Linked DNA regions of Mus musculus: regions 1, 2, 4, 5, 6 and 7 are each reported to be linked to region 3. The links are microRNA targets in miRTarBase. Many come from high-throughput screens and were not tested one by one. Region 3 holds a microRNA gene; each other region holds the end of a gene's coding sequence. Distances are between the middles of the regions.

Region 1 (4,306 bases), not on the chromosome of region 3:
AGAAGTCAACCATTTTCCGTCACCTCCAAGAACTAGAACATGTCTTCCAGTTTTTTAAGGCCTAGCTTAAGGAGAGAGCCAGCAGGAAGCATGACTACTTCCCCTGTCTGTGGTCTTTGTAGATGAGTATGTGGCAAGCCTACACCTGCCCACCTTTGATGCCCACCTGACAGAGCTAACAGATGAACAAGCCAAGTATCTGGGACTCAACAAGAATGGACCCTTCAAGCCTAACTACTACAGGTGCCTTGGGCTCCCCAGAAATCAGAGAAGGCGGGGTACTTAGAGCTTCCCAGAGTGCAGCTGATCCTTGTATCTGTTACCACATACCTTTACGTGAACTCAGAAAAATAACATATTTCCTCCATGTCTCCTACCTCAGAATACTCTGAAATCTTCTTAAAACATTGGTGTTCTCCACCACCCCTTCCCGCCCCATAAATACTAGCCTTTTAAAATCACATTTTTGTTACTTATTTTGTAATTGTGTATGGAGGTGGAGGTGGGTGCTTGTTCATGATGCATGTGCCCTGGTTGCATGTGTGGAGGACAGAGGATAACCCGTGGGACGAAGCTTCCCTTGTACCGTGTGGGTCCTGTGGAGACTGGCAGGCTTGGTGGCAGGTGCTTGTCTCCACTGAGCCTTCTCAATAGCCCATGGCCTTTTTTCACTGTATGAAAAAGAGCCACAGATATCTATGCTTACCATATACACTAGGAAAGCCCTTGTCTCCCTCTTACACCTTTAGGCAGGCTCCTTATGTTCCAGTCCCACCAGCAGATAACATCAGTTTCAACTTTCTTTTTCCCTCCAGGTATTAAGTTCCTGTAATGCAAGCCAGAAGACATGTTAAAGAATAGAACCAAGCCTTTTCTCAAATACTATCCAAGGAAGAACCTAGCAAGCTGCTTCTCCAATCAGAGCTGCCCGCCGTGCTCATCCTGTGTGTTAGGTTATTTATTTATTAAAATCTAGAATCCTGTGCCTGTAGCCTTGGCCCAGAGTGTGGTTACTAACTCGTGGGGCCGTGAGAGCCACAGAGGACAGGCTGAGGAAGGAAAGAAATGGGCTAGCCATTCCTCGTGCATCACTCGCATTATTGCCCATTAATGGAATCCCCAGCGATGACCATGTTCTCTCCAGGCTCAGGAGTTAGTTCAGGGATGCCAGACTCCTTGTTACTTAGGGTTTTCTGAATACATTTCAGCAGCTGCCTTTCTCAAAGCTTTGGTCCTTTCCCAGGTGAGGCCTTTTGGAAGCCACTGAATTAATAAGGCCTGAATTCTCAGCCTTGATAGTTACTGTCACTGCCTTCCTTATAAAAAGGCTGGGGAGGCAGGAGTGGTAAGGTCTTGTAAGCTGCACCAAGAACTCAGCTGTGCCTGTGTCCGTGCCTACTGGGATCTCTTCTCTTACCCAGGACTTCTTTCTTCTCCTTGACTAACTATATCCATTTCAATGCTTTCTGGCTCTAAGAGGGTTGTGACTCCATGATCTTAACAGCTCTGGTGTTGGTCAGGCATTTGTTTTACTTTCTAACCCTACTAAACTCTGCTCAGGAAGTAGCCAGCCAGCTCCACTGGGACCCATAGTTCTGCTTTCTTCCCATTTAACTGGACTGTTTCCTAGGAAGCCCCCTAGATGGGCACTGTCAGAGAAGGAGAGCCCCGTATGAACAGTGCTTCTGTTGTGCCTGAAATGATGCTTGGAGCTGAGTTGGCGAAGGTGTTTGCTAGAGATTTGGGGGCTTCAGACTTTAGAGTGGGCTATAGCTTGATATCCTAAAGAAAGAAGTTTTTCCAGGAAAGACTTTGCAGCCTGGCTGCAGAAGACAGGAGACTTTGTAAAGTGTGTCGAGATGATGAAACCTAGTTTGAGGGCTGGAGGTTAGCTCAGTGGTAAAGCACTTGCCTGGCATGAGTAAGGCCCTGTGCTCAATCGCTGGGAACTAGGGGAAGGGATGGGGCACTAGTTTGAACCTCATCAGACATTCATCCCTTTGGCTGTTAGCCTTGGTGAAAGTGAGATCTGCAGTCTGATAGCTTATCTTTCTTTGCTGCTGCTGCTGCTGCCGCGCTGTATCGTTATTATGATCTGGCCCCTTCTGTTTAAGGATTCTGTTTCAGAGAGTTTCTTAAGTAACTCCAGCATTATAAAATAATAATGTAAACAGTGTGAAGTTTCTCATTCTACCCAAGAGTGATATCCTTTGGAGATAGACTGAGTGGTTTCGAGGTTTCCACTGGGATCATTTGATTTCAAGAATTAACCTGGAGTGACCCTAGGAATCTTGAGTTGAATGAGTCCCTCTCATGGCCCTCCCTATTTAGAAGTCTCCTGTTTGTTCCCCATGTGTCTTTTACATTGATACATCTTTTACATTGTATCAAGAGCAAGGTCATTCCAACAGAGGACACCCAGAATCACTGAAACCTTCCTCTAGATCTTCTCCCCTGGCTCCACCATCTCTGCTGTCCCTTGGTCTTTGTGTGTGCCCTGGAAGCTAGTCTGGAAGTGTCCTTATTTTCTAAGATAGGGAAACAGAACTTGGGTAGGTGGCTGGTTTGCCTTATGGTATACATTCTGGCTCACCCCAGAAGATGGACTCTTGCCAGGACAGCATCTGTGGCTGTATTCTGTTGTATAAGGAAGATCAGAAACACTGAAGACCTTACCGAGATAGGCCGTTCTGTTTGCCTCATTCTGATTTCTGTATTAGCGGAATGCATCAATCACTCTCCCACTACCATATCTGTTTTGTTTTTTGTTTTTTGTTTTTTTGTTATTGTTGTTGGGGTTGTTGTTGTTTTGAGATAGTCTTGCTCTGTAACCCAGGCTGGACTCAAAGTCACGGCAGTTCTCCTGCCTTGGCCTCCTGAGGCCATGTGCTACTATGTCTGGCCTCATAATTGGATCTCTTTAGTGAAAGATTCATATCTCTGTGCCTCATTTTATGTCCAGAGCAGATTCCGTTAGGCAGGTATCTGGCTTGGGCCCCAAGTCATATCCTGGTGATTTTCTGCAAAGCCTAGCTCTCTACAGAGCTTCTTATGGCTGCCACACCATAGGGAAGAGATCCCCTCCAAGTAAAAAAGGAGCCACATGGGTTTCTAAGTTACGTTGTACCTGACTGCCCATAGTGAGGTATCTGCCTGTGAGTTACAGATGACATCTATTCCCTTCTCTCTGGAGACTTCTGTGTCATCAACCATTAAGAAAGTAGCCAGAAATAGGATGTAAGACAGTGATAGGACACTTGATTAGCATGTGCCAGGCCCTGGGGCGAATGAATCCCAGTACAGCAGGCTTGTGGAGAGTTGGGAAGAAAGAAGATAGCCCAGGTTCTGCCCTAATGCTGGAACCAAATCATTGTTTCCTCTAACCTTGGAATAAGAGCAAATTTCTTCTTATTCCAACTCTTCCTTTTACAAGCACTCTAGCTACCTGGAGACAAGGAAGAGAAGACTGGTTGTCTCTGGTTATGTGGCCCTGGGCAGAGGGAAATACACCACTTGTCTACAATGAATTTGTGCTACTTCAAGGTCTTCTTGCTGTTTTAGTGGAAATATTGTTTTCTTTTTCTTGTTAAACAAAAATGCCTCTAATCTACCTTCCCTCTGCCCTCCTCCCTCCTCATGTTCCCCTCCTGGGAGAGCCAGGCTCCCCACGGCCACACACTCCTGCAAAGCTTTTTCTGCTGCTTGGCTTTTCTCTGAAAAGATCTGAAATTGCTGCTCCTGTGCTTTTCCTCAGAATTAACTTTTGTCATGGTTTAAAATAAATCAGAATGCATTGTTGCATTAAGCTTTTTTAATAAAGGAAAATTATGGAAAGAAAATAGGTAACACCAGCAAATTATATATTGACATTGACAAGTCTAAACATATATATACTTATATATGTAAAACACATCCATATCTATACAAATAATCATCTAGTTCTTACTGTCATCTTACTGAAAGGAACAAAGCCTCTAAGGATCACCAGTTCTGAGAAGCTCTTGGAAATCTCTATGTCTAAGTGATTGTATTAGATCAGCAATAATGACTATGTAATCTCAAAAAATAAAGTATTCTTAAAACTGATCTGTGTCCTGAGAATACCACTTAATTCTGTGAACTATGAATTCAGAGATGAGAGATATGTGGGCAAAAAATAACAAGGATACCTGCCGTAGGATGAAGATGTGAAAAGCTGATGCAGTTACCAGCAGGTGTGTTGGAGTGACCATCACCCTGAGAGTCTTGTTTTACACTGAGACACTGCTAACAAATACCTTGTCTCTCCCCGAACACCACGCCTTGA
Region 2 (4,250 bases), not on the chromosome of region 3:
GTTTGAGGCCAGCCTGGTCTACAAAGTGAGTTCCAGGACAGCCAGGGCTATACAGAGAAACCCTGTCTCGGGAAAAAAAAAAAAAAGCACTAGCTGTTCTTACAGAAGACCCAGGGTTCAATTCCCAGCCCCAAGAGGCAGCTCACAACCATCTCCAGTGCCAGGGAGCTTGGTTCCCTTCTCTGCCCTCTGTGGGTATCAGGGACACAAGTGGGGCACATACACACACATTCAGACAAATGTTCATACACATAAAAAATGTTTTTGTTTTTTTTTTTAATGTAAGCAGGAAAGAAGGGGGAAAGAAATAGCACACTTAGAAGACTACGTTCATAAACTGGACTAGGTTGGAGGATACCGTTGACTAACAGGGCTCACTCTTCTGAGCTTAAGATCACAGGTAGTGGGCTACCCTAATCTGGCTTCAAGGTGATAGATAGGACTTAAAAAGAACCGGAATTGAAAGTGCACGCTTAAGCCAATTATGGATAAAAATCAAGGTTCCAGTTTCATTTTTTCCAATTCTTTTTCTCTTTTCCAGATAAAACTGGTGGTGGAATGGAAACTTGAAGATGACAAAAAGAATAATCTCTTCTGCTGGGAGATCCCAGTTCAGATCACAAGCTAGGCTCCTTGGCGCCTGTGTCTGTGTGGGCTGAGAGGCCATGGACGGAGTGGGGGGGAAGAAACAGAAATCAGACCCGAAATGGAATCAGTGCCATATGATGAACAGAATTTCAAGAATGCTGTTTTATGCCTTTTAACCTCCAAAGCAGTAACTGCAAGCCTACTACTCTTGAGAGCGCGCTCAGAGCCATTGTCCCCCGAGATAGCCTCTGGGGAGGCTTCGGGAGGGAAAGGGGAAACTGGAAAGATTAGATTGGTGTCCATGGCTGTTTGCTGTTGGATTACAGGCAGGTTCCACCAGACAGGATGGGACGGGGTTGCTTAGGGATGTCAGATAACTTGACCCAGGGCTATGGATCCACTGTGAAGGATGGCTTCCCAGAGTCTTCTGGCTGCCTGGGGGTGTTACCTCCCCTGTTTCTAAGTGCCTCCTGAGTCCCCAGCCCCTGGCTTATCAGTCAGATGAGTCTCCTTGGTAGCCTCTGCCCCATCGCTTCAGCAGTAGCGACTAGCTCTCCTCGGTATCCAGACTGGCTGAGGGGCAGTCTGCCGCAGAAATTTGTCTCTGAGTGGCTGTGTCTTTGTGGTTAGCTCTCGTTCTTTGGTAGTTTTCATTAAAGCCAATACTTGGTTGCAGGTGCTTGGTTTTGTTTTTTAACGGTATTTGTCTGTATCCTCTCTCTGCATGTAAGATTGAGCCTCCCCATAAATTCTAACTTGCCACTCCTGCGTGTGTGTTCAGTCTGTGGTTGCCTACTTCTTCCAGATGGCAGCCTCCTAGGTCCATAGCAGGCAGCCACCCAGTTCCGAAGCTCTAGAGAAGATGTGACTCACAGGACTCACGGGCACCGCCTCTTTCCTCGTTTTTATTTATACCAGCTAGACTTTATCCATAGAAAGTGGCCTTGTTCTGCATTGCTGTCAGTGTGCCTGAAGCAGCAACCACCACCTAGCACCACTTGAGGAGGCGTGGTGACGGGGACACTACGCGCCCTCATGGGGAAGCCTAGAAAGGAGAGGGAGGAAGAGGCTGTGGCTCTATGGAGGCAGGAGGGATGTGAGTTCCAGGCCAGTCCGAGTGGCAGCATAGTGAGATCCATTTAAATAAAGAAGTAGGCCCAAGCCGACAAGGGGCAGAAGGGTCGTGAGTTCCACACCAGCCTGGACTTAACCACTCTGCCGTCCCACCCTTCCCTGACTCAATTTCAGTTCTAGAAGGCAACAGAGGCATGAAGACTGCTGCAAGTTGGAGACCAACCCCGTCTACAAAATGAGCTCAAGGCCAGCCTGAGCTAAAGGAGACCTAGTCTCAGATGGGGAGAGAGAACATCATAGCAGATAACAGTTCCCTTTACTATATCTCAAGATGACTGACAGGTATGGTCATGGATCATAGTTTTTGGTAGGGAATGCACACGCTGTTTTTGAGATGAGGTCTGACGTATCTCAGGCTGGCTTTGAACTAGCCATGTATCGGAGAACCTTGACTTTCTGAGCCTCCTGCTTCTACCTCAAGTGCTGAGATTGCCAGTGTAGGCCCCCATTCATAAAATCCGAATAGCATAGGACTGGAGGCTTGCGGGTTTTTTTTTACCTGTGAGTTTCCCAGGCAAACCACCAGGGGGCAGCAATGGGTCAATAATGAAGTTCTTACCGGTGACCTGTTCACCCACTGTACAGAGGTCTTTTGTGTATCCTTTCACCCTGAGCCCACCCTATCTTCCCATATGAGTCAGAATCATGTGAACTCCAAAAGTAGTTACCTGCTGAGGTCGTTGCTTCCAGCTGCCCGTGGTTAAATTTTGGCTCCTCCAGTTATTCAGCTGTGAATGTGAGCTGTAAGTGATTCCATCTCTCCGTGCTTCAATTTGGATTTTCCTAATCCATTGACCAGGGACAATGGTAGCGCCATGTGAAGTGAAATGAGGCATGTAAAACACGAGTCAGGGCGTGCGGTATACACGCTGTCGGTGTGAGCCATTGTGCTAGGCTGCTCTTTTTGTCTAGAAATAGGAAAATCCGGAGGCTCAATCTCATGTGTAATGTGTCTCAGAAAAACATAGCTATCGTCTGTGTGGGAGCTTGCTGAGGGGCCAGGAGAAACTCACTTCTGTGTTTGCTGACTCCCTTTTCCCAACAGATTCTTCTTGCCTTTTTAGCTCTGCAACTAACAGCTCTCAAACCCGAAAAAATGGGGGGTGGGAGGAGGAAGCTCTGTTAGTGCCCTTGTGTCCTCATCAGAACAGGAGGTGACCCAACAGCTTAGGACTGTTTGCTTACGGGCCACTGGGAGGCTCAGTGGAGCCTGCAGTTGTGAGATAGGTAGTCTCCCATGGGAGGATTAGTTTGAAAGGTCATCCCTACAAGAAAGTTCACAGTCATTAACACAGAAGCCTTGAATCCTAAGCATACAAAGGGCCCCGTGTTTTCTACTGCCTGTCTCTGTGCAAACCTTGAGTCTTAGACCCACTCTTCCCTTACAGGAATCTGAGGCAGGTAAATCTCAAGATCCCCAATGCTATGGTCTGATCTTCATACTAATAAAAATCAAGGGGTGGAATCATTTCAGATCCTGGATGCCTGATTTTGAAGGAAGTTGTGTGTGTGTGTGTGTGTGTGTGTGTGTGTGTATGTGTGTGTGTGTGTTAAAAAACAGGGCTGGAGATGAGGCTTAAAGGATAAAAGGTCTCCCCAGAACCCACTAACAAAGCGAGATGTGGGGCTGAAGAGATGGCTCAGTGGTTAAGTACATTGGCTGCTCTTCCAGAGGACTGGGGTTCAGTTTTCAGCACCCACATGGTGGCTCATAGCTCCCTGTAACTGCACTTCCAGGGGGTCAGACACCCTCTTCGGGCATGGCATACACATGATACACGGACTTATTTGGGACTGGGGAGCCATGAATCGAGGGTAGGAACTGTGGCAAAGCAAAAGTGGGGTAAAGGTGTGTCCAAACCCCAGAAATCTGATCCTGAGATTGGCAGGAGTAAGGTCTCTGCACCCCCACGTCCCCCCACCCTCACCCCTGCTCTGAGCCTTCCTGTCCTGGAGCATGAAGCTTGGGACACACACACACACACACACACACACACACACACACCGCCTTTGCCCCCTGGAGGAGGCTACACAGCCAAGTAGCCAGGTCAAGCTTCCTCTCCCTTATAAGGTCATGTCCATCGGTACCTGGAATTCCTCCTTATGCAAATGAGACCCCAGCACCCTGCCCCAGGCCAATGATGTACATTCACTCCAAAAGCCCCTACCCACGCCCCAAAGGTTGCGTAGCAGCCTTTGTTCCCCCATTGGAGCTGTCTCCCAAGAGTCTGTTCTTGCTGCACTCATAACTGCCTGATCTGAAGCCACTCTGGTCACCCAAGGTGGACAGAGACGCGGAGCCTGAACAGCAGCAGACTTACATGCAGGCGAAACACCCATAGGCCTAAAAGAAATAAAATTGGGGGGGGGGGTGAAATCTGGATGCATCAGCTTGCCTGCTGTATGGGGTGGCAAACAAATTCCTGTCTTAAACTTGGACTGACATCCAAGGTTGTCACTGCCATACAAGGAAAATGACAAACTGATATCCTCATCAAATGCACACTAATAAGTAATTATCTGAGCCT
Region 3 (4,306 bases):
ACTGACATTTTTGTAAACACATACCTAGACAGTCATAGATATGCTTTTGCATCAGCTGGGTAGATAGGAGAACAAATATGAATGAAGCCCATCTATAGCTAGGTGTACATCATATATAGGCCCGTGAGCATAGAAGGTTTCTTTTGTTTGATACACTTGTTTTCTCATAGAGAAAAATGCCTTACTGTCATTCATTTATATTCGCTCTCCCCCCTTCTCTACTTCTCCCCTCTCTCCTTACTCCTGACTCTCTTCACTCTCTGTGACATATAGTAGGAAAGTGAAAGATTGAAACTTGTGATTTTGTCTTTCATATCCCTCACAGAAAGGGGTGTGAACTTCGTTGATTTAGGCACATTGAAGAAGAATTACCAGAGAGCCAGTCCTTGCATTGCCTTTTACAGATTCTCCGAGTCACTGATATTCATGCCTCCTTCACCTGGCTTTTGCATATATGAGTATGACCATACTATTGTAAACAGGACATTCATTTAGACACATGTGTACAAAAATGGTAGTGTAAGAGGTAAAAATAATAGCCAGGGGCCAGGTCCTGCATCCTACTCTAGGCTTGCATCTTACCTAATTTTTTTGGTACTCTTTAAAGAGATAGCATTTGTTATTCTCATTTTTTAGAAGTAGTCCATGACCTTGGAGAAAGCAGGTAGATTCTTTAATCCAGTACATGGTGAAGTATAGGTTTGAAACAGGGTTTGTAGATACCAAACTCCACAGTTTCTCTGTCTTATCCATGATGCTGGTAAGGTCCCCAGCATCACCCAGCCCCTTTTAGAAATACAAAATCTTGAGCTCACTAATGAGAAACCTCTGTAAGTTATCTTAGTACCAAGTCCTCCAGGTATCTGAAGTAACTTTAACAAGATGCTGATGTGTGTTAAAGGATGCCAATCTCTACTGCCATCTTGTGAGCTTATGGCCTCTTCTCTCTGTCTCTCTGTCTTTTTTTCTTTCAGTATTTTGTATCTCTGGCTTTATATTTTTATAATCTCAGAACAAAATATGAATGTATATATTTAGACAGGTTTCTCTGTCTCTGTCTGTCTGTCTGTCTGTCTGTCTCTCTGTCTCTGTCTCTCTTTGTCTCTGTGTCTGTCTGTCACTCTGTCTCTCTCTCTCTCTCTCTCTCTCTCTCTCTTTCTGTGTATGTGTGTGGAGGGTGCAGAGGTCAACCTGAGGTGCTTCCCCTTTGGGGACATCTACCCTGTTTTTTGAAACAGTCTCTAATAGGGACTTGGCACTCACCAGTTAGGCCAAGGGATCTAGCTTTCTTTGAGTCCTCACGCTTGGCTCTTTTATGTGGAGGCTGGGAGTTGAACTCAGGTGCCTAGACATACTTAATGTGAAGCTCAAGAACATTGTCTTCTTTCTCATCACAGATAAGCACCTTGTGTCAAAGGTGAGCCCATGCGTTCATTTGCTGTGAGCCTTTTGCCCTGCTTCAGTTCTCTGATCCTTGCTACCTGGGTGAGAGTGTTCTTCAGCAAGGATTCTGAGAGCCAGACCTTTGTGTTTGTAAAGGACAGAGCGCATCTCTCGTTCTCTTTTAGTGTGTTGCACACAAGCATATTGACCACACACAGGAAGGGCAGGTTCCTGAGCCTTCTTGCTTGCTCCCCCTCTCGAATCCTTGGAACCTAGGTGTGAATGCTGCTTCAGTGCAACACACCTGTTCAAGGATTCAAAGAGGCTGAGCCTTGTCTGCGTGTAGAATGGCCCATACTTGCACATCTCACCTGCCACCTTCCCTCCTCCTGGCCACCATTTGATTTTGGTTTTAGCTGTCAGACTTGGTTCTACACATTTTCTAACAGCAAAATGGTCTTTATCATGTTTGGTAGACATGCTTCTATTCTCAGCATGAGCTTTCTTGATTCCCAGTTTGCTAAGTGTCAGATCATGTGATGAGGAGCACACATTAGGTGCTGCTACTCAGGCAACCCGTTTGTTACATCCAGTGATAACCCCTGTTCCACAAAGCTTGAATTGTATAAAGGCATTGGAAAGGAATGGAGTATCCTCCTCCACTGTGCCCTCTTTCAGTATGTATATGCATTCTCAGATCCCAGCCTTCTTGCTACCTTCCAAACATAAATCAGGCCCCCACAAATTCTCAAGTATGATCTGGGAGAGATACCATTTTGTATACGTAGAAGTTTTCTCTGAGAGAGGATGCTCATGGTGGGAAGGGGGCAGATACATATATAAATCAGGGATGTCAAGCTTGGGTATAGGTGGTGATGCTTGGCTGAATCAGGACAAGGAAAATTAAATATTATATACAGAACCACACAAACATGGTACAGGTGCCTGGGCCTTCTGCTCTGCTCATCCTCTCTAATCCTTTGTCCCTGGGTGAAAATGCTATTTGTATGCAATGCACCCGGGCAAGGATTTGGGGAAGGTGAGCCTGATCTGCATGGAGAAGGACAGGAGGTCTGTGCATCATATCTCATCTGTTTGCTGCTTGCATACTTCTTTTATGCCTCCCCCCACCTTCTTTCCTTCTACAAATACAACGGGCATGGTGCATGGGAGAGTAAATGTGACAAATTTGGCCTCTTCCCACCTAGATTTTATAGGTAGAACTTTATTTCCACTTATGACCCTAACAGGTATCAAGAACAAGTGGGGCACATAGTAAACTGTGTATTGACATAAGTGCGCAGCTTTTCATTCTAGTTCTCATACCGACACCTGGAAGAGAAATTCTTCTTTAGTTCAACTCTTGGAGGAATGCACAGGGCAAGAACAGTAAGCCTTCTTGTTGAACCCACATGCCAAGGGCATAGGTGCAGGCTGTGCCTTTCTAGTACTTGCTACTTGGATGAGTGTGCTTTGCGAATGCAATATACCTGGGCAAGGGTTCAGACATTGAGTTATCTTCATGTAGGACCTTTACGCCTCCTTCCACTGTTTCCTGTCTATTTATTCAGTATGGCAGGTACTCAACTAGGGATTTGGTCCACAGGAGTATGAACCACATGTGGTTCAGGGAGCAAATGGTCCAGGGAGAGTGAGCTGTGTCACATCCATTATGCCTGCATGAGTGGACTGTAGACTGGGACTTCATGTACACTGTCCACTTGGATTCTTCCATATTTTAACACAGTCCCATATAAATGCAGTGTATACAGAGGAGAGGATTCACAGACTTGTGCCCACAGAGAGGATTATCTGACCTGATTCATCAGGAACATTAATCCTCAGCACAAGTGCTGTTTTCAATAGTAAGTCCTGTCCAAGGAATCCAAAGGGTGGCACTTCGCCTGCACTTTAAAGGACAGAGCCCCTATATGTCCACACCCCTGTTCCTTTTCCTTCCTTTCACAAATATTCAGGTATGCACTATTTGATACAGCTCTGTTAGTCATAGAGGATGTAGCAGGAAACAAAATGAACAGAGGTGCTACTCTCTTAGGAGACTAATAAACACACTAAGATCCTTGACTATTATAGACTCACCAACTGCTGTTCAAAAGAATGACCTAGGTCTATTGTTCCTTGTTTTCTATTCTGTATGAATGACTCAGTGCAGGGTCTGATAGATGAGATTTCTCAAACTATTCCCCCTCCCATGGCCCTAGATATGCCTAAACACATGGGCCTACGTGGAGAGGAGTCACTCGCTCACAGGAAGAGTGGATATGGAGCCTATTGTGTTGTTCCCTCTCCTCATCCCTTCAGCCCGAAGACCAGTAGACTAAGTGACTTCTTGTCAACTACCATCACTACTCCCATTTGAAGACAGGAGCTTACTGTCTTACTGTGTAGCTCTGTCCCTCAAGCTGATTCTCCTATACCCACCTCCATAGGTCATACTTTTCTACACACATTTGCAAGCTGGCCTGGGCAACATGTGATCCCAAAAGAAAAGTGAATCTCTTTCATGTTAAAAATAGTAGTCTTTATATCATGTATATTTTTTATTCAGATGAGGGAGGTCTAACTAAGTAGCTTAGTCCAGCCTGGAACTTGCTGTCTATTCCAGAGTAGCCCAGATCTCTTGGTTCACCTGCCTCAGGCTCTGGGTGCTGGGATTATAGGTCTGATGTGCCACCGTGTCCAGATGCTTCATGTTCTGAATGGCCATTTACAGTGGTGATTCTCAAGGCAGGATCCCTGAATCAGCAGCATCACCGTCACATGGGAATGCATTCAAAGTGCGGAGTTCCACCCCTGACCTATCAGGTCATAACACAGAGCAGTTTATATTCTCTTTAAGCCTTCCAGTTGATTCTGATGATCACTCAAATCTTATAATCACAGAATCCAGCCAGGTGAGGGG
Region 4 (4,306 bases), not on the chromosome of region 3:
GAGAGCCAAGGCTCTGGAGCTCAAAATGCCATTTTTATTTTATTTTTATTTTTTTAATATAGAGGCAGGGGGGGGAGAGAAAAGAGGAGTAGAGGCCATCCATGAGCACGTGGAAAGGGGTGGGGGAAGGGGCGAGGGTACAGGGAGAGCAAGAAGGGAAGAGCAAGAGCTCAATATGCCATTCATATGCAGAGCCCCAGCCCGCCCTGGTGCATCCCCAAAATTCATTTACCCTGTTGGTAAACCAGGGCAGAGTGCCATTCTTTAGATGGACGAGGGCACTGTCAAAAGTTGCCTTCCAGAAAGGCACAGGCAAAGCAATTGTTTTCACCTGTGGTTACCTGTGTTCGGCTCTGACTATCACACTGGAGGGTGAACATGTTGCCCCCTAGCTGATTGAGGAGCACCGCTTAGTACAGGTGCCCAGGGAGACCATGGAGGACTGGGGACTTGCCTTCATGCTTGAACCAACATCCTAGACTCCTATTCTATATAGAAATTCATGACATGCTTTTATTTTACGTCACAGTTGGCAGTAGTTAATCGTCTTTGTTTGCTTCCCCTAGAGTTTACAGATGCTTCCCCAGCAGCGGAAAGCCATCGCAAAGTTCAAGGAGCCAGCCCATGCACTAGCGTTTCAACAGAAATTCCACAGGTATCCTCTGGGTTCTACAGCTGGTGACTGGGGAAGAGGAGGGTGCTGTGCTGTGCTGAACAGGATCAGGTTCCAAATCCTTTCTATAAACTGTTTTCATTGTTTGGAGAGACCCCTTCTACTTCCTTCCATGCACCTTGGTTAATTGCTGTCATAAGAGTTTGTGTTAACTGTCTTTTCAAATTTCCACAGGCACATGATTGATCTGTCCCACATAAATGTGGCCCTGATTGTGGAGTGATCTTGAATGGAAATATCTGACCTCATGCTGCACACACTGTGGAATTTCTTCAAGGAAGCTGTAGGTCGGTGCAGGATCCCCAGAAGTGCAGGTCTCTCCAGTCTGCAGTTTGCCAACTTGTCTGCGTGCCAGCCAGCCACAGGGTGATTCCAGAAGAGAGCTATTTAAACTGGTGGACATGGGATTGGAGTCTGGTGTTAGATTGTTTTGAATTCTGTTGTCCACAAGAACTCTGTTCTCGTGTTCTTTTGTTTCCGAGTGCTTATAATGCATGTAGACCTTGTTCTTCGTGATCCTGCTATGTGATTGGTCACAGAGTTTTAGATTCAGGAAAGAATGTTACCAGCTCAAATTCCGAGGATTTTTTTTTCCACAGCAAAGAATATTTGATAATGGTTGCACTTATCTTCAGTACAGGCTAGAAAAGAGTTCTCAACCAGGCTTAACTGGAGTGGTCTCAGAAAGCCATCAACAGGCTCTGGTAAAACATAGGTAAAAATGGGTGATTATGATTGACACTCACCTGCCCTGGAAAGCCAGGGTGTGAGATGGGTGTCTGGGAGTGGTGCCATGGAAGTGGCGATTCTGCTTCTTATAAATACCTCCAAAGTGCCACCTGTTTCAACAGAAACGCTCAGATTGCTAGCTAGGCAAGCACTGGGCACTCCAGAGCCAGTGGCTCTGCCACCCTGCAGGCAGCCCTCTTGGCCTAGTTTTCCTGGCATAGGGTGAGGCACAGCTTGAAAGGTGGTCAGACCTGCTTGGGCTTCTTTGCTTTTCAAATGTCCTAGCTCTGTAGTTCGTGCTGTCATTGGTTTGATTGTCTCACTGTCCTTCATTCAGGGCTCTGAGTTTCCTTTGGGCTGCCTTTCTATCACATTTGTGAAGGATGGATTTCTCAGCAGGGCTGATGCTGCCCAAGATAAGTATATCTGTCCACATTAGTCATTTTAGTCGATTCCAACAGGTGAGACTTGCTTTCTACAAAGCATCCCTTAGAAGTCCATGCTGGGCAGACATTGAACACAGTGCCTTATTATGTTTCTCCCTTGAATGCTTCAGTGTTTTGAGTCATACTCTAGAATGGACTGACACTAGGACACACTCAGGACTTTTTTAGTTGTATTTTATACCTGTGATTTTATCTCACATATCTTGGTAGGATGGAGGAGACAGAGGTCTGTTGTCATCTACTGTCGCTGGGTAATAAGGAGGGAGCTCTGGACTCAAAGCAGCTGGCTTCCACAGCTGAAGGTTTTACATTACGTTTTCAATTAAGTTGCCAACGTTTTAACAACTGGAGAATGGTATTCCAGGCCCCAAGAAACTTTGCTTAGGATTGATTCTGAGATGACACTGTGTGCTGGCAAGGAGCATTGGGGGGCACAGTTGTTGTTTGGTATCCAGGCAGTTGAGCTGAGGCATTCATAGGATGTCTTAGAAGACATTGTGGTATGGTGCCACCTCTGACCACACAGCCTCTGCCTCACGCCTGCTTGGTACACTAAGGGCCAGCCCTGCAGGGGCTGTACCCAGCTTGGCCTTAGCCCATCTAAGTGCTGTCAACTGGTCTCCCACTGTCACTCCCACTCATTTCATTTGGACACAGGAAATGTTGATAGATATTTCGTTAAATTGGTGAGTTTGGTAATATGTTAGCTCTCATTGGACAAGATAGACGCCATATAGGAGGCTGAGGGTTAGGACACAGTAAAATGAATTTAACAGTTTCACTGCTTTCTCAAGTAGTTTTGAGTGCTGGGTCCTTAAAACCCAACTATGCATTTTTGTCTGAAAGTAGGCACTGAAGCATTGAAGTAAGGTAAGGAGACATCCTCTTCGACACCGCTGTTGACCGAGGAGCTCAGGGCCACTTTGAGTGTGATGAGATACCCAGGAACACGTGTGCCCACAGCTGAAGTTTTACATTACGTTTTCAATTAAGTTGCCAACATTTTAACAACTGGCACACACATGAGCCTACACACTTGAGCCTACACACATGAGCCAGTTTTTCCTTATTGTAGTGTCCTGTGAGACAGACCAGCTCCAAGCACTGCTTAGAACAACGGCTCACTCTGACCTTGCTACACATCCATTTGGGGTGGACTATCAGACCAGGCAAGCCAGTCCTAAAGGCTTCTGTGAAGGAAACCACAGAAAGTGAAAGAAGCAGAATTAGAAAGAGCATTCCCCACTTGCAGTGTCCTTCTCACAGGGAAGTCAGACGGTGGAAGATCTGCTGCAACCATTATCTCTGTTCTTTGTGTATCATGCATTTAAAATGAGATGGAAAAGCATTAGCATACTGTGTAAATATGGACCTTTTCAGATTAAAACGTTAATGGAAATGCTTTTAACTCAAACAGCAACATCTTAGCTATTTGTTAGTTCTCTTTTGTTGTCTTATCAAAGTTTAATGGAGACACTTTCATAATTGTTGTTGTGTGTACATTTGATTTTCATAAAGATGGTAGTAAGTCAATGCATTAACCCTCATCTGTGTATTATTTGTTCACAAGTTCCAGAGGTTGAAGGACTGACTCTCACATCTGTCCTGAGGTAGAGAGTAGGGGTGGGGACAAGGTACTTTCCCTCTCTCTGCCTTGTTTATTTTGTACTGTAATGAATGTGAGTCACTCAGCTGCTTACCTGAACATAACCTTATGCTGCCCTTGGCTTGGCCACATTTGTTAAATCCTTATTATATTGATACTCTTCTTGAGGAGGAAATCTCACCTTTTCTTTTTCAAGAGATTCTGAGGCAGTCCCCACCCAATCCAAATAGGTAGCTGCTTGTGCAGGTCCTGTGCCCATGGCTTGCTGTGGAGGAGTGTGGCTGATGGCCTGGGAGGTGGGTTTTCCATAATCATTTCCATTTGCTAGTTCTCATGTGATATGCAACGGTCCAAGATGGTTATCTGAATCAGGATAGAACACCCATTAGTCATTTTCCCCCCACAAAGCAGCATTCTGCCTGAAGCAGGTAGAAGGCTTTGCTGCTCATGGAAGCTGGTAGGGAACTTAAAAGGCATGGGAGGGAGGACTGGACAGTGGTCGCTCCGGTGGGTAAGGAGAGTCTTATAGCATGGATTGTTAGTAATGTACACCTCTGATGGGACTCCAAAGGGTGGTCCTTCACTTAGGTGTAGAGCCCCACAGATGGACATGTGAGGGAATTCTTGGGGTGACATAAACTAGATAAAGGGCCTTTCTTGGAGAACTAGGCTTAAGGAATATCCCTGTCTTCTGTCTTTTGGTTTTCGTTTGTTCGTCTTTTATTTTCTTGTGGCATTATTAGGCAGGTAAGCTTGATGTAGACCATTGACTGACCCCAGTCAAAGATAGGTCCTAGTGATATAAGAACACTAGCCCAAAAGGTCTATGCAGTAGTTAAGTAGTGCTTTTGC
Region 5 (4,306 bases), not on the chromosome of region 3:
TAGAAGCTTGCTTGGAACTGTGGTTAAATCGTCATGTAAAACTTGGCTGAGGTGTATTGTGTTTTGCAGAGGTAGGGCGGGCAGTTTTGTTTCACTTTGTCTTTGTTTGGTTTGGAGTTGGTTGGTTGTTGAGACAAGGTCTCACTATGTAACTCTGGTTGGCCTAGAAATCTACTGGTAGACCAGGCTGGCCTCGAACTCACAGAGAGCCACTGGTCTGTGCCTCCAGGGTGCTAGGATTAAAGATGTGGTAGCCTAGCCTTTTGTCTTGCTTAGTTTTGTTTCAGATATTTCTTGCTCTAATTCAGGCTAGGCTCAAACTCACAGTACTCCCCCTGCCGTAGCTTCCCTGGTCCTAGGATTATGGGCATAAGCCAGAACACCCAAGGCTATACATTGCTTTTGTGAGCTTATTTCCAGTTGAGTGAGTGAATTTGTAAACCGAGTTCTTTTTTCCCTTTCTCCCTCAGGTCTGTTTAAAGAACAAAACCCGTATGAGAAGTTCTAAGGTGGCTGGCACACACTTGTGGTGGATCGTGCAGTTCCAGAGTTTCCTGGGAATGCACTCCCCAGCAGAGCCTGCAGAGACCTCACCACCATGGCCACCCTTGACCTGGGTGATCCCTCCAGCCTCTACTGGCACCAGTGTGGCCTTAAGAGGACAATCCTACTCTTGTTCCCTCTGTGTCTGTATGTAATCACCTGAGACCTTAATCTCGTTGATGTCCTTTTTGGGGGGAGGAAGTATACTTGGTCCCCACACTCTGCAAGCCGATTACGAAGCTGGCAGCCTGAGGTGCTGACTAGCTGCTGAGTGGCCTTGCTGGAAGATTCACATTGCAACAAGCAAGAGTCATGTTTACTTTGTTAAGGCAAGAACTGACCACCACCCTTGCTTCCTGAAGGCTGTGTTTTGTCTGTAGGCCCACTGCTGTGATGGGCCCTTGTTGTTGTAATTTTGGTGGCCTCTTGGAAGGCACTGTCCCTAAGTCTGGTAAGGATTGCCTTCCTAACCCAGCTCCATCCAATAGCACAAAAGCTTATAAAGTCACCTGAAGTCTTTAATAATCCCTCAGGAAGCAGTCCTACCAAAACCTGCCATGAGACGTCCAGGCCTCTTGGATGACATTTTTCATTTTCAGTCTTTACTAGACTGAGAATTTCCTGCTGTGGGAAACCTGAGCTCTGAATTTAGTTTGATCCTCTTGTGAGTGCTGAATGTCCAGCATGCTGGTGCATGGACTCCAGTGTCCTTAGAAGGGCTTTGTGGAGGGTCTTGGACATCTCCCTCCACAGATCAGGCAGCTGTTGAGTTGGTCCTGTATGTATCATGGAGGATGAACAGCATCTCCACTGGCCATCCCATTGTGGGAGCTGAGTGTGTAGGAAGATAGGAGGACCCCACACCATTCTGCCTTCCAGGAAAACTGCCTGAGCTGGCATAGACACCCACCTCACTTCCACCCTGCTTCCAGCCATGCCTCCTCACCTATCGTGCCTGACACATCCGCACGGGCCCTGGGAAGGTTGTCAGGAGACACTCGGGTCCCTGAGATTCCGTCCACGCTGTACATTTCTTTGAAATCCAGATGTGTCCTAGTAAGCAGATCACAACCCTGATGGCAGGGTAAGGAGTAAAGATATTCCCTCTGGGAAAGCAGCCACCAGCAGATGAGGTGGTCTTACTGTAGGCTCCCTCATGCCTAAGACCTCACCTAGCATCTCGGTAACCTTTTCACCTGTCAGTCTGTCCAGGGATTAATATTTTCCTCTCTTCAGATTTCCACAAAGTAAGGGAATAACCTTTACCACAATCTGGAGTCTTACCATTTTTCTGCTTTGCTAGGCATTTGATGGAACTTAAAGCCTTGTCAAACATTTCTTAAGTATTATAGCAGGCATTGAGAGTTATCTTTCTCCTGTCTATTGAAAGGGAACCCTCCTTACAGGCCCTGATGAACTTCGTATTAATATGTCGCCTGTATAAATTGTACCTGTTAGGTTGCTGAGCTGATGTTAGAGTATTTAATTCTCCAGCCTAAGGAGTGCAGCAGGTGCTCGTGGGAGTGGTCTGTGCCTACCTTTGAGCAGCATGAAGCCACAGAACCAAGCCTGACACCATCACACCCCGTGCCTTAGTTTTTAACCACTGTCCAATAAAATGGTTGAATATGACTTTGATTTCTTTGTTTTGTCCCAAGGGTGGACTGGGGCTGTGGCTTTCCAGGTAAGGTGGATTTGCCCTGTCATCTGTGTACCATGTTCCACAGGGACTGACTAGGCCAGTCCTGAAGTGGTCACCACCGTCTACCCTCCATGTAGAAAGGTTCTTATTGTCATCTGCCCTGTCCAATCCCACCCCACCAAGCTCAGCATTCCATTTTTATACTGGTACAAAGGTGGCCGGGCCGAGGAAGTGGCTCTGCATGGCTGTCAGCTGACACTGGCCCCTGGGTGCCCACCATCGGCATGGTAGGTGTAGCATAGATAAAAGTGTAGGTGTTGCCGAGTCTGCCTGTGACCTGCTGTTGGCTGTTGACTCCCAGGGTCCTTTGTCTTAGCTCAGCCTGGCTGCTTGAACCTGTTGACTGTTGTAGTAGAGACAGACATAGGGGACTGGGCATGGAAACTGACTCTGCTGCGTTCAGGTTAACACTAAAATAAAGAGACTGGCTTACAAGCCCAGGAACTAGAACATAATTCTGAAATATGCAGGGGAGGGGGCAGGGAGGGATGTCAACAGCCTTCTGATATAAAAGTCTGCCCTCCTGAGGCATGTCCCTGGACAGACGTGTTTATAGGAAACACAAGCCCTGGGACAGGCCATCCAAACTGTCAGACCTGCCAACAGACCACAAAAGGTGAGGACAGGTCCCAGAGCAGGTGGGAGCCCACTCTCCCAGCCTTGTCTTGGGACCACAGCCCTTTGCAGGTTACCCTGGGCAAATGATGTTAGCAGTTGTCACCCTAGATGATAACAGAGAAAATCTGGATGGGTGTGGGAAGGCCAAGAGAAGTTCTGGGGATCCAGTTGGCCAGATGTTAGATGTGTTGAATCTTTAATGTTCCAGGGGAGCTACCTAGGAACTGCTCTAAATCCAAGAGTATCCTCAGCTTGAACTCTCATTCACTCATGCAGGAAGATAGCACAGTGTAGTTGGGTTGAGGAGGGGCTCACTCAGCCATTTCCTGTGTCTGCAGACAGAGGGGGTGGTGCTGGGGTGGGGGTGGGGGTTACATCAACCCTTCCTTCCCAACACTTGGTTTTAAGAATGAGATGTCATGCCTTACCAAAAGCAGCCATGGGTGCTGTTAGCTGGCTGGGTGTTGGGACCTCACCTGTCACCACCCCTCAATCCCATAAGTGGTACTCACAGGGCAAGCAGTCTCCCACTTTGTAGGGGTCAGCCTCAGCTTTGAGTTCTGGTCCTGCCTTTGGAGCTCAAGCAGAGGGGAGTGGGGGGGGGGCTCACAGTTGGGGGTCAGACCAGTTTAACCCAGGGCTGCCACTGTCTCCTGCTCTACCTCAGTGTTCTGGGAAAGGTGTCCCACGGGCACCAGTGCCATCCACACCCAGAGGGAATGTGATAAAAGAGGAAGATAGGGGGGGGCCATGCAACCAGAGGGGAGAGAGAATCAGCACTGGGCTGGCTGCTTGGCATTGGTCAGTAATGCACCCTGGGTAGGATCCGCAGCCACAATGACCAGCCATGCCAATATGACCTGCCTAGCACTCTGTCCTGGCTTCCTTAGGAGAAACCGTTGGTACCCCAAGCTTGCTGGCTTCCCAAGCTTGCTAACTCTGGCTCTTAGCCTTTCCTGACTTTTCTTCCTGCTCTGCCTCCCTTACCCTCGCCACACACTGCCGCCTTGAGAGATCCTCCGTCCCAGAGACTACCTCTGAAGCCTTGTTCCACTGTCTGATTCCTTTGAACTCTATCAAAAAGTTGTCACCTGACCCAGGGAATGTGTCTTAGGCATACTGCAGTGAATTGGGGCTTCTCACAGTTAGTTTTTATGTGGCATCTTGGCTGGGTGGCCCTGCATCTGTCTGCCAGTGCAGAACAGTGCTCGATCCAAGGTGTTGATGTAATTTTTTTGTAAAAGATTTAATTATAATTTTATCTAAGTACACTGTCACTGTCTTCAGACACACCAGAAGAGGGCATCAGATCCCATTACAGATGGTTGTGAGCCACGGCGTGGTTGCTGGGATTTGAACTCAGGACCTTCAGAAGAGCAGTCAGTGCTCTTAACCACTGAGCCATCTCTCTAGCCGCTGTTGATGTAATTTTTAAGCTGTTTT
Region 6 (4,295 bases), 97 Mb from region 3:
TTTTTGCTTATTAAGGAAATAGAACTAAAACATGCTCTTGAATGATTTTTGGAATGGAAGGGCTTTGCAATAAAGACAGATTCTGGACAACATATTCAAAAAGTCATGTAGACAAAAAGCCAAGATCATTTAAACAAAAGAGCATTAGTTGTCAGCACATGACAATTAGGAGTGCTTTCTCTACCTTTCTGCATCATACAACATCTAGTATGGTGTTAATATATTTACAGGGTATGATCCCTTCGTGGGACATACACTAAAACTTACTAAGATGGCATAAATTCTTTGATTTTTCTGCAGGGATTCCAACTACAATCTCCTAAAAGCAGAAACAGCATTTGGGGTTTTACCTGTGTTTGAAGAAGAGACTCACATTTTCCAGAAAGACATTTGATGTTTGTGTTTTCTTTCTTTCAAAATAAGCTTTGTGGTATGTATGTTGACCTGTAAGTGCTTACAAGAAAAGAATTTTAAATCGTGGGAATAAGTCTTTGAAATCAAACTTTAATCTGATGTTCTGTGTAAAAGACTTTAAAAGTCATACAGTTGCACGAGTAGTTTATGCACTGTTTGCCCACAAGGAAAAAAATGGAAAACTTTGTGCCAAACTACAAATAAGTAACTGTATTGTATATAGTTTTACTTCTATATCAACATTTGGTTGTGAGTATTTGGGGGACTTGTCCCTGTTAATTTACTAGAAACATTCCAGTGATTCTTGCTATTAACCACCCCCACTTTTGTGGATAGCACCTATAGATCACAGTGGAAAATATGTTGTGTTATACAGTTTACCAAAACAAAGGATAATGTTTGAATTGTGCCAAATTTTCTTACTTCATCTCACAGATTCACCCCACAGTTTAAAACTCATTCATGATTATTAAATATATATATACATATACATCCATACATTCTTTTAATGTTTTAAACTCTACTATCCTGTGTGGAAATATGAACAGTTAAACAAGGCACAATAAAGATGTGTTTGTTCCATCATCTAAGGATTAAAATGTTGGAAAAGCTTAGGTCACAACAGCTAAGTCCATCAGGGACAGAGTATACACATTTACAGAACCTTGCACAAGGAAATCAAACAGCTGCTTTGAAAGTTGGTTTTCCAAAGCAAAATCTGTAGCAGAAAAGAATTTAAAGTGCAAAGTTATATTGCTGATACTTTATATCTCAGTTTTATATATTTTATAATAGCCTGGGATAAATTATAAAATAACTATAAAATTGACACTAATAATAAATAAAATACATAGATTGCTTTTATTTAAGTAGTTTCCTAAATGTTTTATTCCAGTTATGTCAAAAGTGCACTCACAACATGGCTTTAGTGTTCTTTAAATGTTGATCTTGCAATGCCAATGTCATTTTTTAAAATGACATCTCAGATTGACAGAATTTTTCTTCCTATGATTAAATACATATACCACCAGGTAAAGCTGAACAATATGTGGAAATAACTAATTTAGGCCATCTACATATAGTCTGAGGATGACTACTCTTTTGATATCACACACTAAACATAAATCTCAATTTTTAATTACCTTTTAAATTCATATTTTTGGTTCAACCCTCCCTTTCACTACTTAGAAACTTCACAGTTCCCACATTCCTCACTACTAGCCTTTTCTTCCCCTTTCTTCACCACTTGACTTATACCATTTGATCTCTTTTCCTTGCACAGTTAAGGCCTATGTGCCTAATGACTGATGCATTGTGGCACAGATGAGATAATGGATGTGAAAGCGCTTTGTAGATCATAAAGTGCTATACCAATATAGGGGACTAATATTATTAATGTTGTTGGTTGTTGTTGTTGTTACTATTCTTACTAATATTGTTACTAACCTATTAACTTGTGAATATAGAGGCTGGGGTGGGAGGGAGGAGGATAAGGGGGTGGGAGAAGGGGACTTAATAAAACAGGGAAGATGTTTCAAAAGACATTTTTGAATAAAATATGAGCAACCTACCTAGTCATTGACACCTAAATATATTCACAAACAGAGAAGCAATGTTTTCAAGTAGTCAGAGAGAAATGGAAGGGAGCCTATCATGTATATAAACATACACATTTCCCAGCCCATGATTCCTTTCACCAGCTTACTCTACTACTTACAGCTAGGTAGGAAAATGAACAAGCCCATGATCTAGATTGTGTGTGTTCTCAGCATCAGTCTCTTTTGTCTGTGGGGATGAGTGGGTGAGGAGAAATCTGTGAGGAGAGTTCAGGCACATTCCTAGGCTTTGACACTGTGTTCAATGAGCCCTGGAAAATGATTTAGTGGGAAGGCACCAACTGAAACAAGTCTCTTGCCCTACAATGACCATCCAAAAGAGAAAATAATCAAACTAGAACACTTTCTTTTGTTTCTTGGTACTCTAATAGCTAGCTGTTTGTATTAAATGTGATGGCTACTTCCTAGGAACTGGTCTTTGTTCAGTTTTGGTTTTTGTCTTGTTTTGCAGCTGACCTTTTGCTTAGAATCATCACCTCAGCCTGTATTGTGATCCCCAAGACTCCAGACCTCAAACTCATCTTGCTTGGTTTTAGGAATGGAGTGCTTTCTATGTAACCAAAAAGTGGAAATTAAAGAAGAAATAAAGAAAATGTTCTATGAGTATAATGTGTTTTTATAAAAGTAAATATGGGAGCAGTTGTCCCAGATTTTTTTAAAGTATCATGATGTTCAGCTTTGGAGAATGGGGTAAGACTGGGGTAGGATAGCTTGAAACTGTTTCTAACAGTTTCATTGTCAGAACTTGATCATCAGTCCTTTGGAGTGGATACTCTTTCAGTTGCTCCTATGGAGCCCACTAGGGGCCAATTTTAGGGCATGGTTCATATCTTTCTCCAAAGAGAACTGCCATTTTAAAGCACCTTTTTATCGGCCTGCCATGCATTGTATGTTCTTAACATATAAACTAGTGACTTGTAACCAGTCATTTTGTATTGAAACATAACAAGAAAGTGAATTTGAGGAGTGTGCAATAGACCAAGGCAGAGATGTTATTGTACACTATGCTCTACATTGTTGAGCACTTTGCATTCTGTTGGTCCTGCCTCTGCTCTCAGAATTATTTTCCTTTCTGTCACAACATAGTAGGCCAAACTTACTGGAGATCTCTTATTCAACCAGCTGCCTTAGTGGAGTGAGGACCAATGTATGAAAATAGTGTTTTGCCCTATCACTGATTTCTTCAACTCAAAAACCCTGGATTTTCCTTGATCTGAAATTTCTGACTACCCCCTTCTAACCTCTCCTTTCTGAGAAGCTGCATCCTATTAATGCCTCCTCATTGGAGTCTCATTTAATCTTTACTTTCCTGGAAATTATATCCTCCCTTGTTCTTCTTTCTTGACTTTTATCAGTCTTAGAATTTTTCTTCTTGTGTAGTATTCTATTCAATATCCCAAACTGTCAAAGTTTAAGAACTACAGCTAGAGGCTTTCTTTTGGAAGTTTAGAGGACTACCTTCCCTGTCTTATTCACTCAAAATACAAATGCACGAGCACATGCACACATAGCATTGAGAAAAGACTGAAACTGCTTTCTCTTGAAGGTGTGTGATAACAGGTCCAATCTCTTATTGTGGTCAGGTGCTGTACTACATGGAGCAGAGTGCAGATACAATGGCCCCAGCCAAGGGTCTTCAAGACATTGAGGGTTGTGTTGGGACTAGAGTAAATAGCTTGAACCTGTGGCCATCCTCTATGCCTCTCCAGTGTCTCAGATCTCAGCTGCTTCACATATGCTGCTCCCTCACAGCTTTCCCTACTGACTTCTTGCTGCTCTGTGCAATTATATGTTAAGGCCTTATCTTTTCCTATATCTTTTCAAACTTTCTGCACTACTTCATTCATCACTTCTTTAGCCATCTCTCTGAAGTCCTTGGTGCTAGGTGGGCTTTTGTGACAAAAATTTTCACCTTCTCTGACTCTTTTCTTTGCTGGGAAGAATCGTTGGGGGGTAGGGAACACAAAGGAGGGTATGTGTGTGTGTAAGAGAGAAGCATAAAGGATGCTTCAAATGCTGTAATCAACTCCCATCCTGTGTTATTTCACGTGAGGTCTTGCAGTTCTAGTGAATTTCCATTTTAGTGGCTTTGAAATAGTGTTTACTGCGTAAAGGAGAAAAGCATATCCAAGGACCTCTTTGCCTTGCTCTTACCAAACTGAACTAGTGTTTTGGAGATCTACAATTTATAGATGCACTCAGAACAGTTCTGAGAAATGAGGAGAGTTAGAGTTGAGTTTCTATGCTGAAGAGGTAAATGGAACA
Region 7 (4,306 bases), not on the chromosome of region 3:
AGTTCCGCGTTCAGTTGGAGTCATTACCTTCTTGTGAATAATATTGCAAAAGAAATGGGGACATTAAAAAAAACTGAATATGAAAATGAAAACTCTCTGTAAGCCTAAAGAGAAAACACTACACCAAAGAGCTATTGGGCTCACATCTGCCAACGAGACATTCCGAACCATCATGTCCTGACTCTACCGTGACTTCAGCAGAGAACAGTGCACCCTTCTGAGGTACTCCGTTTCAGCACTGGACAATGTTTGCTAACAGGTCACACAGACACCACCAGGACTAGAGGGACATCGTTTCCCCCCCATCTCCCACCCTCCATATAACAAAACTGATACAAGTAAGAAAATAAGCAGCCAGCAAGATTCCCCAGCACTCACTTCCCTTAGAGTAGAAGAAACCTCTGCCATCGTTTCCTTAGAAGCAGAAGCACATTTCAAGTCGGCCGAGCTGCCAAGTGTCTGCACTAGAGGTGGGGCTTGTCCCATGCCAAAGAACAAAACAGAAAGAAAAATAAAATCGAGAAACATTAGCTTGTTGCTAAGCTTCCAAACAAATCTTGGCAATATAAATGTAATCACCCGTCAACCAAACAGAAGGTCAATCTTTGTGTGTCTTGTCAATCATTTACTCCTTAAGATGGCACTGTCCTTTCAAACACTTGGGGTGGCTCTGTACAAGGGTTAATGTCCCCAGAACTGAGAATGGGTGTCCCAAGCACGTTAGCCTTATTTGACTCTTAGCCCACGGTCAGATCTGTGCTCATGCCAACCAAACTCCTAGGTGGAGTTAAGAGGCAGAATGGGACCCATGTGTAGGAAGCACCTACCTGGTTCACACACTGGAGCCACATCTCGGCAAAGCTCACTCCCCTCACTACCAAACTAACACCTTAACAAATTCACTCCCACTTGTTGTGGGGGCAAAGGTGGGTGTTAACATAGGTCTCTGAGCATGCCTGTGAGGAGTTGCCTTGATTACATTAATTAGAAGGGAAAGAGCTGCTCGCTATGGTAGCAGCATTTCCTGACTGGGTCCTGGAAATGGAGACAGGGAGCTGAGCTGAGCAGCAGTGTCTTAGTTAGGGCTTCACTGTTGTGAGCAGACACCATGGCCAAGGCAAGTCTTATAAGGACCACATTTAACTGGGGCTGGCTTACAGGTTCAGAGGCTCAGTGCTTTGTCATCAATGTGGGTGCATGGCAGCATCCAGGCAGGCACGGTGCAGGAGGAGCTGAGAGTTCTACATCTTCACCTAGAGGCTGCTAGAAGACTGGCTTCCAGGCAGCTGGGATGAGGGTCTTAAGACCATGCCCACAGTGACTACCCATTCCAATAAGGCCACACCTCCTAATAGTGCCACTCCCTGGGCCAACCACATACAGATCATCACAGGCATTATGCATTAAATGCTGTCTCTTGTCTGCAGGCCACAGTAGCACCTGCTCCCTCAAGGTCCTGCCCTAGGACTTCTACAGCTTGGTGGACTGTAACCTGAACTCTGAGCCAGAATAAACCCTCTCTCCCTTAAGTTGCTTATATCAAGGAGCAATGAATCTAAGACAGATGGGTGGTTCCAGATCCCAGAAACAAAATGCATGGTTGCTGAGATGTGCCAGGGCCTGTAGCATTTGTTTGCAATGGGGGGACCACTGTTTACAAACAGGGCACAAGATATTTTATATGTTCTCAAAAAGAACAAGTCGGCCACACCTCTATTTGTAATCAGCAAACTAATGTTCTTTCATGATCCGTAAATAGATATATTTATCCTTTTGACTTCCTTGGGTTTTGTTTGTGTTCTGTGGGGCATGATGCGCGCAGAAGACTTGTCTGTCTGATGTACATCTGTCCTCTCTAGGGACATGTCATCCCAAACTCGAATTTCAGAGGAATGGCTTCTCAGGCAAGAGTCACATGATAGAATTCTATAAGCCTGGTGCTTGAGGAATGACGGGGTGTCTCCCTTTGCTCTGCCTCCCTTTGCTTGTCTGCAAGCCTTTCTCCAGGACACCCCTCACAAAGACCAATAAAACCAGGCAATGGGAAGCCTCTTTTTCTTAAGATGATTAACCGAGTTGCCAAGACATTCCCTTGGTTTATGGGTAACCACGGACAAGCACAGAGAGGCCAGAACATACAAACAGGAACTATAAACTCCATCCCCCCAGGGTCACGCAGGAGACCCGAGCTGGCTGTTTCCAAACACACTCCACTGTGACCTTTCAGAGCAGGCTATAAAGCTTAACCTAGTTCCCACCCCCACCTCCCCAACCCCACCCCCCAGCTAACGGTTTCCATGGAGATGACAGGGTGGATGCGAAGTTTCCTCTATGTTCCAGAAACTCCGAATGCTTAGGAGCCCCACTGTTATAAATCAGTGGGCTAGCTATGGGATCTAAACCAGTTATCTGGGAGCACATATTTTGCCCTTAACTTGTTTATAAATGGGAAGCCCTGCCTGTGTATTCTCAAATGCACAACATCCTGACACATGGGAGAAAATGAACGGACTTGGTTTTGGTCCTTGCAACCGTGTCTAAGTATGAGTCTCCTTCCGACTCTAGTAGGGTAACTTTGGAAGTTAAATGTCACTTACTTGCTAAACTACACTCAAAACTCAGGTGTTTCTCCTTTTCCTCCTCCATATCACCCCACCCCACACACACCACCTTCGAGATGGTTGTAAATTCATCTCCATCATTGGAATCACAGAAGATACATTCAAAACATCACCAAGCAGAGAGTTCAGAGCATGCAACTGTCAAAACATGATTTTAACTTCCTTGTTCTAGGGAGAGGGGGGAAAAATGCCCTAGTTCATTCTAAGACAGGAAAGTAGGTGAGCACGCAGAGCTACCAGAGCCTCCTGACCTGAGGTCTTTCCACCCTTGCTTCCTGTCCTCTCCGGTTCAGCATGCTGCTTGCTAACATTACCATTAACAAAGGCAATTCGACTGGTCAAGTGATTCGCCTTCAGTACTTGACAAATTACTTTTTGAAGTTGAGCCTACAAAAAACTTGCAAACCACTGGGTGAACGTTTTGGGTCTCACGCAGATCGTATAAGTTATCATTTTAAACCTCCTAGCGGGGTTTGGCCTTTTCTCTGCTGTTGCAAGGATACCTAGCCTACTTTTAGGACCCCATTCAGGTTTGAGAGTCTTGCATTCACTGGTAAGGAGGGGACTGGACAGGCTCCTCATTACACCTGAGTCCGCACCTGCATCCTACTTTATCTGTGGCCTCTTCTACCTCTTCCCTTAGGGATGGGCTTATCTGTATCTTCCCACACTTTAAACTATGAACCCCTCACTAAACAAGCGAAGCAAGAGCAGAATCCAGCACGGCAAAGCGGGGCTTAAAACAGCATTGGGAAAATGTCTTCAGAGCCAGCGAAGCTTCTTTTACTCTCAAAGCGTTTGCATGATGCACTATGGCCAGCAGCCTGGCCTTTCTGCTTCCTCTATTCCTGAGACATCTTTGCCCTTCCTCCCCCACTGGGGGTTTGGGGGCTAGCCCACTCTTTTGAGCACCCCCGTCCCCTCAAATGCTGGACAGTGGAGCTGCCCAGCCGATCCTGTCCTAGACTGCACCCTGCTCCCCGCGGTCCGGCTTCTCAGGCAGGTTGAGTACAAATGGAAAGAGTACGCCCCGGACATCCAGGGGGGATCCCAGGGGCTCGGGCTCAAAGCTGCCACCAGGTCCCATATCGCTGCCAGCCTCGGTGTCCTGAGAAGGCACGAAACGCCAGGTCCCGGCGCGGCTCACACAGTAGATGGTACCATCCAGGGCAACACAACGAAAGGGCTGGAGGCCTGCGGGTGCGCCAGGGGGCCTCAGGTGTACAGCACATTGGCTCCATTGCTTGGCCAGGCAATGGTAGCGGAAAACGCTGACCCCGCCACCTGAACCGACTGCAGCCTGAGCTTCCCCACGGCTCCCACACAGGTCAAAGCGATAGAGGAAGCCGTCGAGGGCCACCATGTCGGCAGAGCGCTCTCGGCTGCTGCTGCATGGGCACTCCTGCCACTCGTCGCGCCGGGGGTCGTACTTGAGCAGGCGGTAGAAGAGTGAGCCCCCGGACACATAAATCTCTCCGTTACAGGTGGCAGCCTCGTGGGCCACTGCGAAGGCGCCACGGGGAAGCGGGGCCACCGCCGTCCATCGGTCAGCTCGCGGGTCGTAGCGCTCCACGCTGAGCAGGCACTCGCCACCCACGGCATACAGGTGGCCGTCCAGGGCCAGCAGCTGCACCTGCGAGCGTGCCTGGCGCAGCGGCCGCACAGTACTCCAGGAGTCGGTGACC

What was found. Region 3 holds the annotated microRNA mmu-miR-362-5p (AAUCCUUGGAACCUAGGUGUGAAU, at 1,644-1,667, shown strand). A microRNA usually pairs through its seed, bases 2 to 8, with sites in the 3' UTR of a target mRNA and lowers its output. Matches are read on the target gene's strand: a 7mer-m8 pairs with bases 2 to 8, a 7mer-A1 pairs with bases 2 to 7 and ends in A, and an 8mer does both.
Region 1: miRTarBase lists Ahcyl2 as a target of mmu-miR-362-5p. The part of its 3' UTR that is shown has no 7-base or 8-base seed match.
Region 2: miRTarBase lists Npc2 as a target of mmu-miR-362-5p. The part of its 3' UTR that is shown has no 7-base or 8-base seed match.
Region 4: miRTarBase lists Rbm33 as a target of mmu-miR-362-5p. The part of its 3' UTR that is shown has no 7-base or 8-base seed match.
Region 5: miRTarBase lists Pttg1ip as a target of mmu-miR-362-5p. The part of its 3' UTR that is shown has no 7-base or 8-base seed match.
Region 6: the mRNA of Nexmif is a reported target of mmu-miR-362-5p. Seed matches in the 3' UTR shown: 7mer-A1 at 803-809.
Region 7: the mRNA of Kbtbd11 is a reported target of mmu-miR-362-5p. Seed matches in the 3' UTR shown: 7mer-A1 at 1,767-1,773.

What each region holds. Positions count from the first base shown.
Region 1 is chr6:29,908,225-29,912,530 of GRCm38, forward strand. Ahcyl2 (S-adenosylhomocysteine hydrolase-like 2) reads left to right here. Exons shown (of 17, transcript NM_001171000.2): 16 at 123-243; 17 at 816-4,086. The coding sequence ends at 822. Among named protein-coding and RNA genes, the nearest start is that of Strip2, 6.6 kb to the right of the region's middle.
Region 2 is chr12:84,753,504-84,757,753 of GRCm38, reverse strand. It overlaps Npc2 (NPC intracellular cholesterol transporter 2), which reads left to right. Exons shown (of 4, transcript NM_023409.4): 4 at 542-3,195. The coding sequence ends at 628. Among named protein-coding and RNA genes, the nearest start is that of Npc2, 17 kb to the left of the region's middle.
Region 3 is chrX:7,239,380-7,243,685 of GRCm38, reverse strand. Mir362 (microRNA 362) reads left to right here and starts at 1,640; the gene lies at 1,640-1,704. The region is part of intron 2 of Clcn5 (chloride channel, voltage-sensitive 5); the gene reads left to right. Mir501 (microRNA 501) reads left to right here and starts at 2,335; the gene lies at 2,335-2,443.
Region 4 is chr5:28,412,721-28,417,026 of GRCm38, forward strand. It overlaps Rbm33 (RNA binding motif protein 33), which reads left to right. Exons shown (of 19, transcript NM_028234.1): 18 at 567-655; 19 at 848-4,306. The coding sequence ends at 896. Among named protein-coding and RNA genes, the nearest start is that of 9530036O11Rik, 52 kb to the right of the region's middle.
Region 5 is chr10:77,596,558-77,600,863 of GRCm38, forward strand. Pttg1ip (pituitary tumor-transforming 1 interacting protein) reads left to right here. Exons shown (of 6, transcript NM_145925.3): 6 at 471-2,175. The coding sequence ends at 508. Among named protein-coding and RNA genes, the nearest start is that of Sumo3, 7.4 kb to the right of the region's middle.
Region 6 is chrX:104,079,289-104,083,583 of GRCm38, reverse strand. It overlaps Nexmif (neurite extension and migration factor), which reads left to right. Exons shown (of 5, transcript NM_001077354.3): 5 at 301-4,295. The coding sequence ends at 394. Among named protein-coding and RNA genes, the nearest start is that of Gm22266, 11 kb to the right of the region's middle.
Region 7 is chr8:15,028,581-15,032,886 of GRCm38, reverse strand. It overlaps Kbtbd11 (kelch repeat and BTB (POZ) domain containing 11), which reads right to left. Exons shown (of 2, transcript NM_029116.2): 2 at 1-4,306. The coding sequence ends at 3,583. Among named protein-coding and RNA genes, the nearest start is that of Gm35340, 6.1 kb to the left of the region's middle.